Linked DNA regions of Saccharomyces cerevisiae S288C. Changing the gene in region 1 together with any one later gene gives a genetic interaction. Each region holds a gene or a part of one and is shown on either strand. Other genes may lie near its edges.

Region 1 (2,907 bases):
TTTGCCAGGAAGGATGCTCTAAAAAGACATTCTAACACACTGACCTGTCAAAGAAACAGAAAGAAACTAAGTGAAGGTTCAGACGTTGATGTAGATGAGCTCATCAAGGATGCGATAAAGAATGGTACCGGCCTGTTGTAAGGCTAGAGGAAAACGTATTTGTCTCCATCAGCACACCTACACATACATATATAGATAGATATATACTTTAGCCATTGAGATAAGTAGAATAAAAAAACGTTGTAATATTCCGATACAGTTAGTGACATGTTCTCTACTTTTGCCAATTTTTTGCGCACAAAGTGGTGACGTACAAGTTCATCATTTCACGTGTGCAGCATAGTGTGGTATATTGTTTTTTTATATTTTATTTTTTATTTTTTTTTTTTTGCAGAAAACAGTGTTTGTATTATATGCTTTAGATATGCTAAAAAAAATGAAAAAAAATGGAACAAAATATGTGTTTTTTTATTTAACGTTAAAATTAAAGATTAAGTTATTTATTCGACGTCAGCATCAAAAGTTTGACCTTCAACTAACTCTGGAATAGCTTCATCCTTCTTTTCAGCATCAGCTGGAGCCTTGGCTTCGTGCTTTTCCATTTGGGCAGCCAATTGAGACAAGGCTTGGATGGCTTCAGGGCCCAATTGAGAGATAATACCTGGGAACAAATCTTGCAAGTTCTTTTCCTGTGGTAGACCGTAGAATACAGAAGTGTTGTGTTGAGCAGCAACTTGGACACCGACCTTGTTGAAGTGCATGACCTTACCGTCGTCCTTGAAAAAGTTGGCTTCGGCGACGTTGTCAATGGTGACAGCGTGCAACTTAGCTAATTGACTTTGCAACTTGGTGTCATCCTTGTTGGCACCGGCAGAAGAGCCTGCCTTCTTGTTAAGCTTTCTTCTAGTACCACCAACTTTGTTGTTAGCAGACAACTTTTGTAGCTTAGCTAATTTTTCTTGGTCAATTGGCATTATGAATTATGAGTCGCGTCTGGTGTGAGATGTTCTATTCTTAAACCTCCCTAGAAAGAATATTCGCTCTCTTGTGACAAAGGAGGGGTTACTACTTAACAAGCAATTGCAGCTGTTTCCACTACGAAATCTTCCAATGTCAACGAAAAAAATTCAAAAATTTTCTGCTTTTTTTTTCAACATCTGCCGTACTAAATGATTCCACAATAATCCATCATATACCATTACCCTGATTCCCATCGAAGAAAAGGCGGTGTCCCCTTACCCGTCCGCTCATGCCAAGAGATTAATTCATAACCGCTCTTCCTTGGATCAGAAGTGAACATATGAAGTTGCAACTACTACATACTTACTACCGTAGTCCATCATCAAGGACCCAAACATTCACGACTCCAGCGCGCCACGTTCTTCGCCATACTGCTTAACATTTTGGTACGAGTGCGAATTAGGGAAGTCGATGATAAAATAGAATATGCGAAAAAGAGGAAGAGCAGCCGTGAGAAAAAAGAAAAAAAAAGGCCTAAGGTATTCTCTACTCCAAAATCGTCGAGGGAGGGCAAAAGAAATTTTTTTTGTTTAAGGGAATTGCGAAGTCAATTGATTGATGAAGTAGCTTCTCTGGAAAAATGGCGGACAGACGCTGCTCAAATAACCGTCGAAGGGGGAAAGGTTATCGGTGGAAACATATTTGTAAGTACATAATAGTGAATTTACTTCTTGTCGGCGTCCCCTAAACGTAATTGGCGGTGTGATGGTACTTCGTTATATAAAGGTGTGTAATATCCTCTTTTACCATCTATTATTTCTTCCAGCATTTCTTGCTGGATAACCTACTGTATCCAAGCTACTGGGCTTTTTTAAACATACCCATAACTTTTTTTTTTTCATTTTTCGTTGCTGTGTGCTAGTACAATTTAAGCAAAAGGAAACTGTTTTGCGTTATGTCTTCCACTGAAGCAAAGCAATACAAGGAGAAACCCTCGAAAGAGTACCTCCATGCCAGTGATGGCGATGACCCTGCAAATAATTCTGCCGCTTCTTCGTCATCTTCGTCTTCTACATCAACTTCCGCCTCGTCATCGGCTGCAGCCGTTCCACGGAAGGCCGCAGCCGCTTCTGCCGCTGATGATTCTGACTCAGATGAAGATATAGACCAATTGATTGATGAACTACAATCTAACTACGGTGAGGGTGATGAATCTGGTGAAGAAGAAGTACGTACTGATGGGGTGCACGCTGGCCAAAGGGTTGTTCCTGAAAAGGACCTTTCTACGGACCCTGCGTATGGTTTGACTTCGGATGAAGTCGCCAGGAGAAGAAAGAAATATGGGTTAAATCAAATGGCTGAGGAGAATGAATCGTTGATTGTGAAGTTTTTGATGTTCTTCGTAGGGCCTATTCAATTCGTTATGGAGGCTGCTGCTATTTTGGCTGCCGGTTTGTCTGATTGGGTTGATGTCGGTGTCATCTGTGCTTTACTGCTATTAAACGCATCTGTCGGATTTATTCAAGAATTCCAGGCAGGTTCCATCGTAGACGAGCTGAAAAAGACGTTGGCCAATACTGCAACAGTTATTAGAGATGGCCAATTGATCGAAATTCCGGCTAATGAGGTAGTTCCTGGTGAGATTTTGCAATTGGAAAGTGGCACAATTGCTCCCGCAGATGGTCGTATTGTCACTGAAGACTGTTTTTTGCAGATCGATCAATCGGCCATCACTGGTGAATCCTTAGCCGCTGAAAAGCATTACGGTGATGAGGTGTTCTCCTCATCCACTGTGAAAACCGGCGAGGCTTTTATGGTTGTTACTGCCACTGGTGACAATACCTTCGTCGGTAGGGCTGCCGCCTTAGTGGGGCAGGCTTCCGGTGTAGAGGGCCATTTCACTGAAGTATTGAATGGAATTGGTATTATCTTACTTGTTCTAGTTAT
Region 2 (3,219 bases), on another chromosome or scaffold:
CTGACAAGCAAATTGTTCTTTTTTCTGGACGGTGCGGGATCAGGGGAATCACACGTTCAATAAATAAAGAAAGGATGAAACAGTCGTACAACAACCAAACATGAAGGAGGTACAGAGGAAGCAAACAAAACCAAATTTGCTAAAATCAAGACTGGGGCAATTTTTCAGTCCGTATACAATCGTTCACAGGAATTAGCCAATATGGATGTTACATTTCTAACCAAAAATGTTCAAATAAATGGCACTCAGTTTAAAATATTACTTCAAAATGGGCAAGGTGAATGCGCGCTAATTGCACTAGCTAACGTATTATTGATATCACCTGCCCATGCTCGCTATGCCCAAGAAATTTCCAGACTAGTGAGAGGCAAGGAAACTGTTACTTTAAACGAACTTGTGCAAACTCTAGCCGACATGGGCGTTCAAAATCCGAATGGTACAGATGTGGACAAACAACAGCTACTCCAAATCCTACCACAATTATATAGCGGATTGAACATCAACCCAGAATTTAACGGATCTTTTGAGGACGGCGTAGAAATGTCGATTTTCAGGCTCTACAATGTCGGCATCGTTCATGGATGGATAATAGATGGGGACAATGATCCGAACTCTTACGAACATGTGTCCAAATATTCTTATATGGGCGCGCAAAAAGTTTTGGTACAGTCGTATGAGATCCAAAAGAATAATGCCCAATTTGAAAACAGCGAGCAAATCCAATCTGATGCACCTTACTTAAAATCGTTTCTGGCAAGATCTGCCACACAATTGACTGAATATGGTCTAACTCATCTCAGAGAAATTTTAGTAGAAAGATCGTATGCCGTGCTTTTTAGAAATGATCACTTTTGCACATTATATAAAAACAATGGCGAATTGTTTACTTTGGTCACGGATCCTACTTACAGAAATCGCAAGGACATAAACTGGCAGTCGCTTAAATCCGTGAATGGATCGCAGGATTCTTACTACACGGGCAACTTCATTCCCACAAGTCTGGAAAGAACAGAAACTACTGCTACCGGGCAAAATGAGTCCTACATTTCTAACCCATTCAGTGACCAGAATACAGGGCATGTAACTAGCAACCAAGTTAATAGTGGAGCAAGCGGTGTTCAACAAATCGAAGATGATGAGGAACTAGCTAGGAGGTTACAGGAACAAGAAGATATGCGTGCGGCAAATAACATGCAAAATGGTTATGCTAATAACGGTAGAAATCATCAAAGGGAAAGGTTTGAAAGACCTGAAAAAAATTCAAAGAAAAACAAGTTCCTTCCCTTTAATGGGAGTAATAAAGAAAAGAAAAGAGACAAGTTGAAAAAAAACTGTGTAATTATGTGAAACCATGATTTCTTTTTCGTCTTTTGTATCTTTCTTATAGAATTATTTTTTTTGTGGGTGTCACCACGCTAGCGCTTATTTTTAACTCTACCACTTTTTAATTTTGTAAATGTATATTTTACTCCTTCATGGCGTTCAACTGGCCTATTTGTGATATATAACCTGATAATACCAATGATTTATTTTTTTTTACAGATTCCTTCTCCTAAATTTGTCCAAACAAAACGGCTCAAGAAGCCCCGAATAATGCACTACAGCGGAAATTAACATTTTTGGGATATCTTCACAGAATACTAAAGCAATCAAAGTGGCTCATAGTATTGAGTTTTACAAATTACTTGAAAAAAAAATAATCACTAGGCAGTTGCATAAAGTTGAAACTGAGGGAAGGAACTGGGGAAATCATGGGTGATATAAGAACTTTTGTTTTCGCTATAGAAGATACGGAAACAACACAAGGTTTGTGTAAAACCATTGGCCGTTCGAGTTCATTTGATCAAAATAGTCTATGTAAGCCGTACAATCTATATTTTGATGAGCCAGAACTAAGCAGACAGCATGCTGTCCTATGTATAAAGACACCAATACCCAAAATTGAAGGAGTTCCCTCTATAGAACAACTCCGCATCTGCATTCGGGATTTGAATAACAAGACTGGTACAGTAAACTTAGTGTCTGATGGGCCAAATGATGAAATTGATTTGAAAAATGGTGATGCTTTTGGTTTGATTGCAATTGATAATCATCCTTTTCGCGACAACCATCATTTAGCCGCCAAGTTAATTTTCCGAATTGAACTTGAGTATTTCGATGAAGCAAGGGAAATCGTAAAGTGCACTATTACAAATGTAACATTTGGAAAGAATAATACAGTGTCATCTTTCCCTATTCATTCTGCAACATCCACAGAAGATAGCGATTCAAGTTGGTACGGATTGTCGGAAGCGAGTACGCAAACGGAAGTTGCAGATGAGTGTCATGAAACGAACACCATATTGACTCGAGGTGGTAGGTTTTCTATCCTTTCGTTGAGAAAAAGAGGCAGCAAGCAAGACCAGAAGATCTGCAGTAACTTTGATAGAAAAATACATGAAACGAGTTCTTTCGAAGAAGAAATCGAAGTTTGCACTGACACAGACACCACAGAAGAAAAAGAAGAAGAAGAAGAAAAAGAAGAAGGGGATGATGAGGAAGGAGAAATAGAACTTGAAATTATTAGAGTAAAAAGAATAAAGGGCAGGACGAAGATAAAGAAGACGCTTACTTGCTTCTCGAAAAACAAGAAAATTATTACCCCTCAGCACTCCAATAGTATGTGGTTACTACTAATAGTAATCTTGATTTTTGACCGCCTACTATCGAATTAAATATAATTTTATAACCCAGTTCTATATTGCTGGGTGGTATTATAGCTTCATGGCTAGTCAAATAAGTGGAGTTTTTTGCTCTGGACGTGGCCTGTAAAGTTCTCTTTTGCGACGGCCCCCCGCTTTAACCGAGGCGAAATGACAAGTGCTTTCTGGCAAAGAAGGAATAGCCACTACAACCTGCGGTCTCCACCTTTCTCCACCGATAATCTATTTAAACACTCACTTGCCAATCAGCAAACGTCAATACATCTACATATATACGTATAGATTTTATTGCACTGTGATCAAAAAGAATGTCTCAACCGGTTCAACGCGCTGCAGCACGCTCATTCCTTCAAAAATACATCAATAAAGAAACTTTGAAATATATTTTCACAACACACTTCTGGGGTCCCGTATCAAATTTCGGTATCCCAATTGCTGCTATATATGATCTGAAAAAAGACCCTACACTAATCTCTGGCCCAATGACTTTTGCTTTAGTTACCTATTCAGGTGTTTT
Region 3 (3,229 bases), on another chromosome or scaffold:
AAGTGGGGTAATTTGCATTTTGCTCAAACTTGCTATATTCCCCTCCATGACTACATAGACCTTGTCAAAATTTTGGCTGCCAGACCTAAACAAGTAGTCTTTCCTGTATATTTGCTTCAAATCTCGACTTCTAACCTCTATTCTCATATTGCTTTCCCCATCAGGCAACCCCATTTTATAAGTAGATGGGAAAACTTTCATACCATTTACTAGGCGAGTAGATTGTCTTGTTGATGTGACTGATGATACCGGTCTCGATCTAATGTCGCCGTTTTCTATCAATATAGAATTAGCTTGAGAAAAGTTCCTGTCACTTTTTATATATCCGACTCCATTAACGACTTTGACGTCCTTTGATGGCACCTTTAAATTTGAACTATTGAAAAATTCATTGTTGGTGACCATACTATTTCCTCTACTATTGTTACTGAAGGCATTAAGTTCTTCATTGTCATCTTCATCAGGTTCTATAATAAGATCTTTTGGCTCAGGTATAAATTCGAACGTCTCGATTTCCCTTATCAGTTTATGGAATGGCTTAAACCAAGATGAAGATTTCCCTAGCTCTAATTGAACTTGCACCATATATATAACTTTTCCAAAAGAGTAAAAATACAAATCCAGATTATCGATTTTATTAAATTCTTGCCAATGACTATTGAACGTAGGTGGGAGTCGGGCATTACTTCTTGTCACAAACGCTACTGTCTTTGCCGTATGATTTTTCAGACATTCAGGCTTTCTGGGAAACTTGTCAAATTGAAAGCTATAATTATATGAACCTGGTTTAACTTTGAACGGCTTGGAGGAGCCATCAAGAGCATTCCATACATTATCTGGAGGGAAAACTCTCTGTTCGAATTTCATTAATGTATGAAAGGATTTGTTGTCTTGGCCCGGCATCATCATGCCATTCTGTTGAAACATGTACTCTTGATCAATTTTTGTTAAGGTCTCTGAGAATCCTTTTAGAATGACGGAAATTTTCCTTATAGATAGCGCTTTTGTTAACTGAAGACTAACTATCCCTGACATTTGATCATTAGAGCTATAAAACTCCCCGTTGTACGGTGGGTTTAAGGATATTGAAATTTTTGGAGCCATGGTTTGACAAACTGTATGGTTCTCAACCTTCTCTAATCAAAAGCAGAATCTTAAATATAAACACTCACAGAATATCCGTTGGTCAATGAAGTAATTCTCCTTTGTACTGGCTGCTTTTTCTCCTCTAGTTTATGTAATTCTACTTTTGGATGGGTGCGACTGCTTTTAATTGATTGAGTGGCGGTGTTAGAAGGGCTGTAGAGTCGAAGGCTTGTTTCTCTCTTACGCACCTCTTGTGAAAAGGGCGTGCACCTTCCCCAGGACCCTCTCTCACCCTCAACCCGCATTTTGCTGAGAATTTTCACCAAGGCCCTAGGTGATATTAGATTCCACCTGACTAATTGCATTACAGCCGACCCAAGGCAATATCAGTTTAATAAAATATCATGTATCTCACCCTCTTCTTGGTATTAGTAAAGAGACGCCTGATCTTGTAACAGTGGTGAAGATTGTACTAGAGCAGAATCAAGAATTTAAAAAGTGTAAAGGCAAGGCAGAGGCGATGTACATAAAACTTCGAAGTAAGAAATATTTAATAGTTCTCGCCACATCACTATGCAGCTATATAAAAACTACTATAAACGTTTGTTTTGTTCCTTACGCACAATATCCTTGCCTAGAAATCGTTTTTGAAATTTAAATTTTTATTACCATTTATTTGATTCGCCTTCAGAAAAATATGGAAGAGTGCATATTTAAAAAGGACTATTTCAGCATATAGTAAAAGTCAGGTTATTTGTTTATTTGCGATATCAGAGTAACTTAAACTAACTATGCAGGGCACTTTTAAAAGGTTTTACCATCCCACGCTTACGCGGATGTCCTTCTTGGATAAATTCCTCAAGCCTATGATGGCAACGGCTTCCCCAAAGGAATACCAGATCAAACAACTGGTCAAGCCAATAGGCTTAACACAAGCACCAAGGAAAAGCACCAAATACTCCCAGGGGAACTCTTTGAGGGATATGTTTGATTCGGAAAAGACAAACCACAGAGTTAAAGAGTTGGCCGTTGAATTCAGCAAATCTGGACTTTATGACGTGCAAGTCTTCCAAAAGACAAAGGGGAAATTGTTTATAGCTCCAGTTTCATATTGGAAAGAAGATAAAGCTTTGTTTTTTCCTCATTTGATAGGAACGGCAATGGATGGTACGAAACAACAGAATATCGAGGATATGTTAAGGGGTAAAACCAGTATAGTGAGGTTATTTAGTACAGCATCTGGCGATAAGTTGAGTAGTTCATACTTCCAAGGAATCGTAGACGATAACAAAAAAACTGACTACTTGACTGAAGCTGATGCGCGTTTAAGTTTAAATGACAGTAACGTCCAAATCATCGAGGTCAATCTTGTAGAAAACGCTGTGAAAAGTGCTCTAGTGAAAACGCTTGCTCGTTGGGCCAATCGCGTTCCATCCTGGCGCCAGCCATTTTATTTCGAATGTTCTAGAGGCCAATGGCCATTTTCCGTCAGGGAAGAGCTCTTTTGCAATAATGTCTTTTCTGGATACGTCTTTCTTGTGGACCAGCAGTTAAAAATTAGGTGGGCAGCTTGCGGGGAGGCTACTCCATCTGAAAAGGAAGCATTGTGGAAGTTTGCCAAACGTCTGTGAAGTTGACGCTTTGTGCGGCGGCCAACAAGGGATGGGCGGCTATTTGGCGATCGTGTTCATTCCCCAAACTAACACGAAGAGCATGAGAGAGAAAAAACAAAAGTGCTTGAAACAGGTAAGACGTTTATCATTGATATCACCAAAGAAATATATAATGCCGGATTCTATTTTTGAACAGCCCTTTGTTTACTGTGGTGTTTGCCACAGAAGAACATCGCATGGAGATCCATTGAGGCTGACCTCATGTGCTCATATCCTCTGTTCGCAGCATTCTCCATTAACATCAAAGGTGTGTCCTATATGCCGTTCGAGCGATATCTCCATCATTAACCTTGTGGAATCTAAACAGCTGCCTACCGACATTAGGATTTTTTTTGAGCCACTGCCCCCACTTTTGGAGTCGTTATATAATGTTTCCCAATTCCAACTGAATGGGCTTTCGAAACAGTGTCAATACTATCAAAATCATTGTTTAAAGTTGAGAGAAAAATGTGCAAGACAACAGCAGCTGC
Region 4 (3,011 bases), on another chromosome or scaffold:
TTTCATGTTTGTAGATTTCTGTTTCATTCTAGTCTCGAGAATGGCCCACAGCACGGCCAACAGGGGGCTGCGACAATTTCGCGTAGAGCCCATTGTGAAAAAAGCCACCCAAGCTATTATTGTACACAGAAGAATATGGAAGCAAATCGCCAGTGCTACGTGAATGGGACAAAAACATGATGCCTTGTTTAGTATTAGCATTTTAGATACGCCTTTTCAACTTCAAATTGTGCTATAGATAGGAAGATCTCTTTATTACGCAATATATGTTGTGTGTATTTAGGATAAGACTATATCGTCCAACCATACACCGCGTTTCATCTTGTCTTTTTTGCAGCTAGTAAGAATTAAGCATCAAGAATTGTTCAGTTTGCGATGAGTAATGAAATATATTTAAAGAGGACTAATGTTGTTAAAGTAAGCAGTGCTTTTTTCACGCAGTGTATTTTTAGAATAAGTGGCCATGGGTTATATTTTGACAGGATATTCTAGCCGTCATGATAAGAGAAAGAAACATGCACTTCCTTTGCATCGGTATGCATCGTCTTCGATAAACTTGCAGCACCATGTGCATCTCTTAGAGACCCGGGTTTCATCCAAGAGGCCAATATCGGAAGATCAAAGGACTATCAGGCTTCCTGCGAAGAAACTTAGGCATCATCAAAAGCTAACTTTGCAAGATTTACCTGTAGAGATTATTCAACATATTTTCGTTTTCACAAAGGGTGAACCGTCGATGGTCACCTTGAACAGGTTCTTCTATAGTTGCTTGAAGCCATCTTTTTCATTATTATCGAAGATCATGTGGGAAAAATATCTTTTCGATCCCCTGGAGTTTGGCGTAAGTAATATAAAAGCTTATTCAAGAAATATTGTGATCCCTACATTATTTGAGCATGAAACTTTTTTTAGACTACTACTAGATCATCATCCTATCCTGTTGAAAAATATTTCTCATTTTCTTCCCAGAAAGCACTATCAAGATATGCAGAATGGCGATTTTGATACATCTAAAGAGCTAGACTTGTGTTCAATGAACACTGAAGATACATCGAAAGAAGACTTCCCTAAAAACTTTTACAACAATATGCATATTTTTTTAACACGTAGGGAATGTGTGAAGTCTCTAGGTAATCATTTTACTTTGAAGAATCCATATGATGTGATATCCCCTTTTATAGAATGGTTTTTTCAAGGTATTGATATGCAAGGAACTGACCTAAGCCCTAAGTTTACCTTTGTTTCTCTATTTGAATCAATAGATTTAATCCTATACGTCTCTGGATCTACAGTGCAAAAACTAGCGTCTATTGAACCCCTTACGACTGTAATATTTTTATTATATTTCACGTATGCTGATTCACTAGGGAGTCTGAACTTTGAGTTTTTTTTGCAGAATAGATCAAGATTACAGCTCATAGAGAAATTTATCCTGAAATATTATTACAATCCATCATTGACAGAAAACGAACTTTTATCTGATAGCACTATATGGGACCTGTTAAGGCGGGTGTCTGATTTAAAACTCATAGATTTGGTCGTTAAATGCGGCGGAAGGCCTCAATACGGGGTTATGTTTGCATAATTAAATTACTTAGTATTAAGATTCTGCCCCTTGCATGCATGCACAATATGTGCTTGCCAATTCATTTATGTACAAAAGATGGTGTTATATAAGGAATATATTTTGTTTTCTTTGATATTTTCCCTTTCTCATATTCTTGCGGTTTTTCTGCTTTCATTACGTCGCTAATTAGTTTGTCAAAAATTATAACACCGTTAGTTTCCAAGCAATAATTATATAAGGTCCCGTTAAAAAATATCGATAATCAAAAGGTTTTCAAGTAGCAAGCAATAAATAGCTTTCCGAAGACTAAACAGGCTTTCATAGTGTCTCAGTAAGCGTATGGATGGACAACGCAGTTGATGACAGAGAAACACAAAACTATGGGGAAATTTAAGGTTATTGTATTGGCAGGTACTGCAGGTACAGGAAAATCAACCATTGCAGGTGAACTAATCCATGAATTTAAAGATATATACCCGGATTTGAAATTCATCGAAGGTGATGATTTACACCCGCCTGCCAACGTAGAAAAGATGACAAGAGGGATTCCATTAAATGACGACGACCGTTGGGACTGGTTGAAAAAAGTTGCCGTAGAATCTACAAAAGCTGCAGCAAGCACTAAGGAGCATTTGTCAATTGTTGCTTGCTCGAGCTTGAAGAAGAAATACAGAGATTTGATTAGGCACACATGCCCTGAATCGGAGTTCCATTTTATCTTTTTGTATGCAAGTAAAATAGAAGTTCTGAAAAGGCTCAAAACAAGGAAGGGTCATTTCATGAAAGCTGATATGATGGAGTCTCAATTCAGGGATCTGGAGTTACCAGACATCAACGACGAAACTGACTGTGACATTGTTCCCTTAGATTTCAAAACGTTTTATCAAATTGAAAAAGATGTTATACAGGTGGTAAAAAGTAAAGTTTTGAATATTGAGTAAATAACGCTTGGATAAAACGAAGTAAATATTAGAAACAGTTATATAGAAATTAAATACGGTGACCTGGAAAATTAACAAAGACAGAACAAATGTGAATGAATAATAATAGCAACTTCCAAAAAAAAAAAAGGGGTTACAGGGATCAACAAAAAAAAGCAAGAAAAAAAATGAATAAAGGGAATACCATAAAAACAAATAACATTAAACGGATGAGGGGGTCATAACGGAAGTGTGAATATAACTACAACTTGCTTTGGCAAGTAATATTTTCGGGAAAACAGATGATCATCAAGAGAAGGTCTATCAATTGTGGGCTTAAAACAGATGTGTAGTACACTTTTGTGCCAAAAAGGAGGGGGTTAGTTAGTTAAAGAAGAGGAACTCATGCGAAGTTCGTTGAATTTTTTTTCGAACAAGGAAAATTTGTTGGAAATCTTAGAACATTCGTTATCGGACTCGCAAGAAGTGCTTGTGAACGAAGAATGCAATCCAGTGTCTGTGTC

Evidence for each region.
Region 2: mutations in EGD1 (region 1) and YGL081W together harm fitness more than expected from each alone (negative genetic interaction), as found in Saccharomyces cerevisiae (2 studies listed by BioGRID).
Region 3: mutations in EGD1 (region 1) and ATP10 together harm fitness more than expected from each alone (negative genetic interaction), as found in Saccharomyces cerevisiae (2 studies listed by BioGRID).
Region 4: mutations in EGD1 (region 1) and YDR248C together harm fitness more than expected from each alone (negative genetic interaction), as found in Saccharomyces cerevisiae (2 studies listed by BioGRID).

The regions. Positions count from the first base shown.
Region 1 is NC_001148.4:480,928-483,834, forward strand, and holds EGD1 (Egd1p), read right to left. Parts: upstream 975-2,907; coding exon 501-974; downstream 1-500. Other genes in the region: MET31 (Met31p), read left to right, coding at 1-141; H(+)-exporting P2-type ATPase PMA2, read left to right, coding at 1,916-2,907. UniProt on the Saccharomyces cerevisiae protein: Component of the nascent polypeptide-associated complex (NAC), a dynamic component of the ribosomal exit tunnel, protecting the emerging polypeptides from interaction with other cytoplasmic proteins to ensure appropriate nascent protein targeting.
Region 2 is NC_001139.9:355,626-358,844, forward strand, and holds YGL081W (uncharacterized protein), read left to right. Parts: upstream 1-1,751; coding exon 1,752-2,714; downstream 2,715-3,219. Other genes in the region: MIY3 (Miy3p), read left to right, coding at 202-1,347; pyruvate transporter MPC1, read left to right, coding at 3,011-3,219.
Region 3 is NC_001144.5:905,202-908,430, forward strand, and holds ATP10 (Atp10p), read left to right. Parts: upstream 1-1,877; coding exon 1,878-2,717; downstream 2,718-3,229. Other genes in the region: ART10 (Art10p), read right to left, coding at 1-1,104; SUMO ligase CST9, read left to right, coding at 2,749-3,229. UniProt on the Saccharomyces cerevisiae protein: Essential for the assembly of the mitochondrial F1-F0 complex.
Region 4 is NC_001136.10:957,255-960,265, reverse strand, and holds YDR248C (gluconokinase), read left to right. Parts: upstream 1-1,926; coding exon 1,927-2,508; downstream 2,509-3,011. Other genes in the region: YDR249C (uncharacterized protein), read left to right, coding at 464-1,585; putative serine/threonine protein kinase VHS1, read right to left, coding at 2,868-3,011.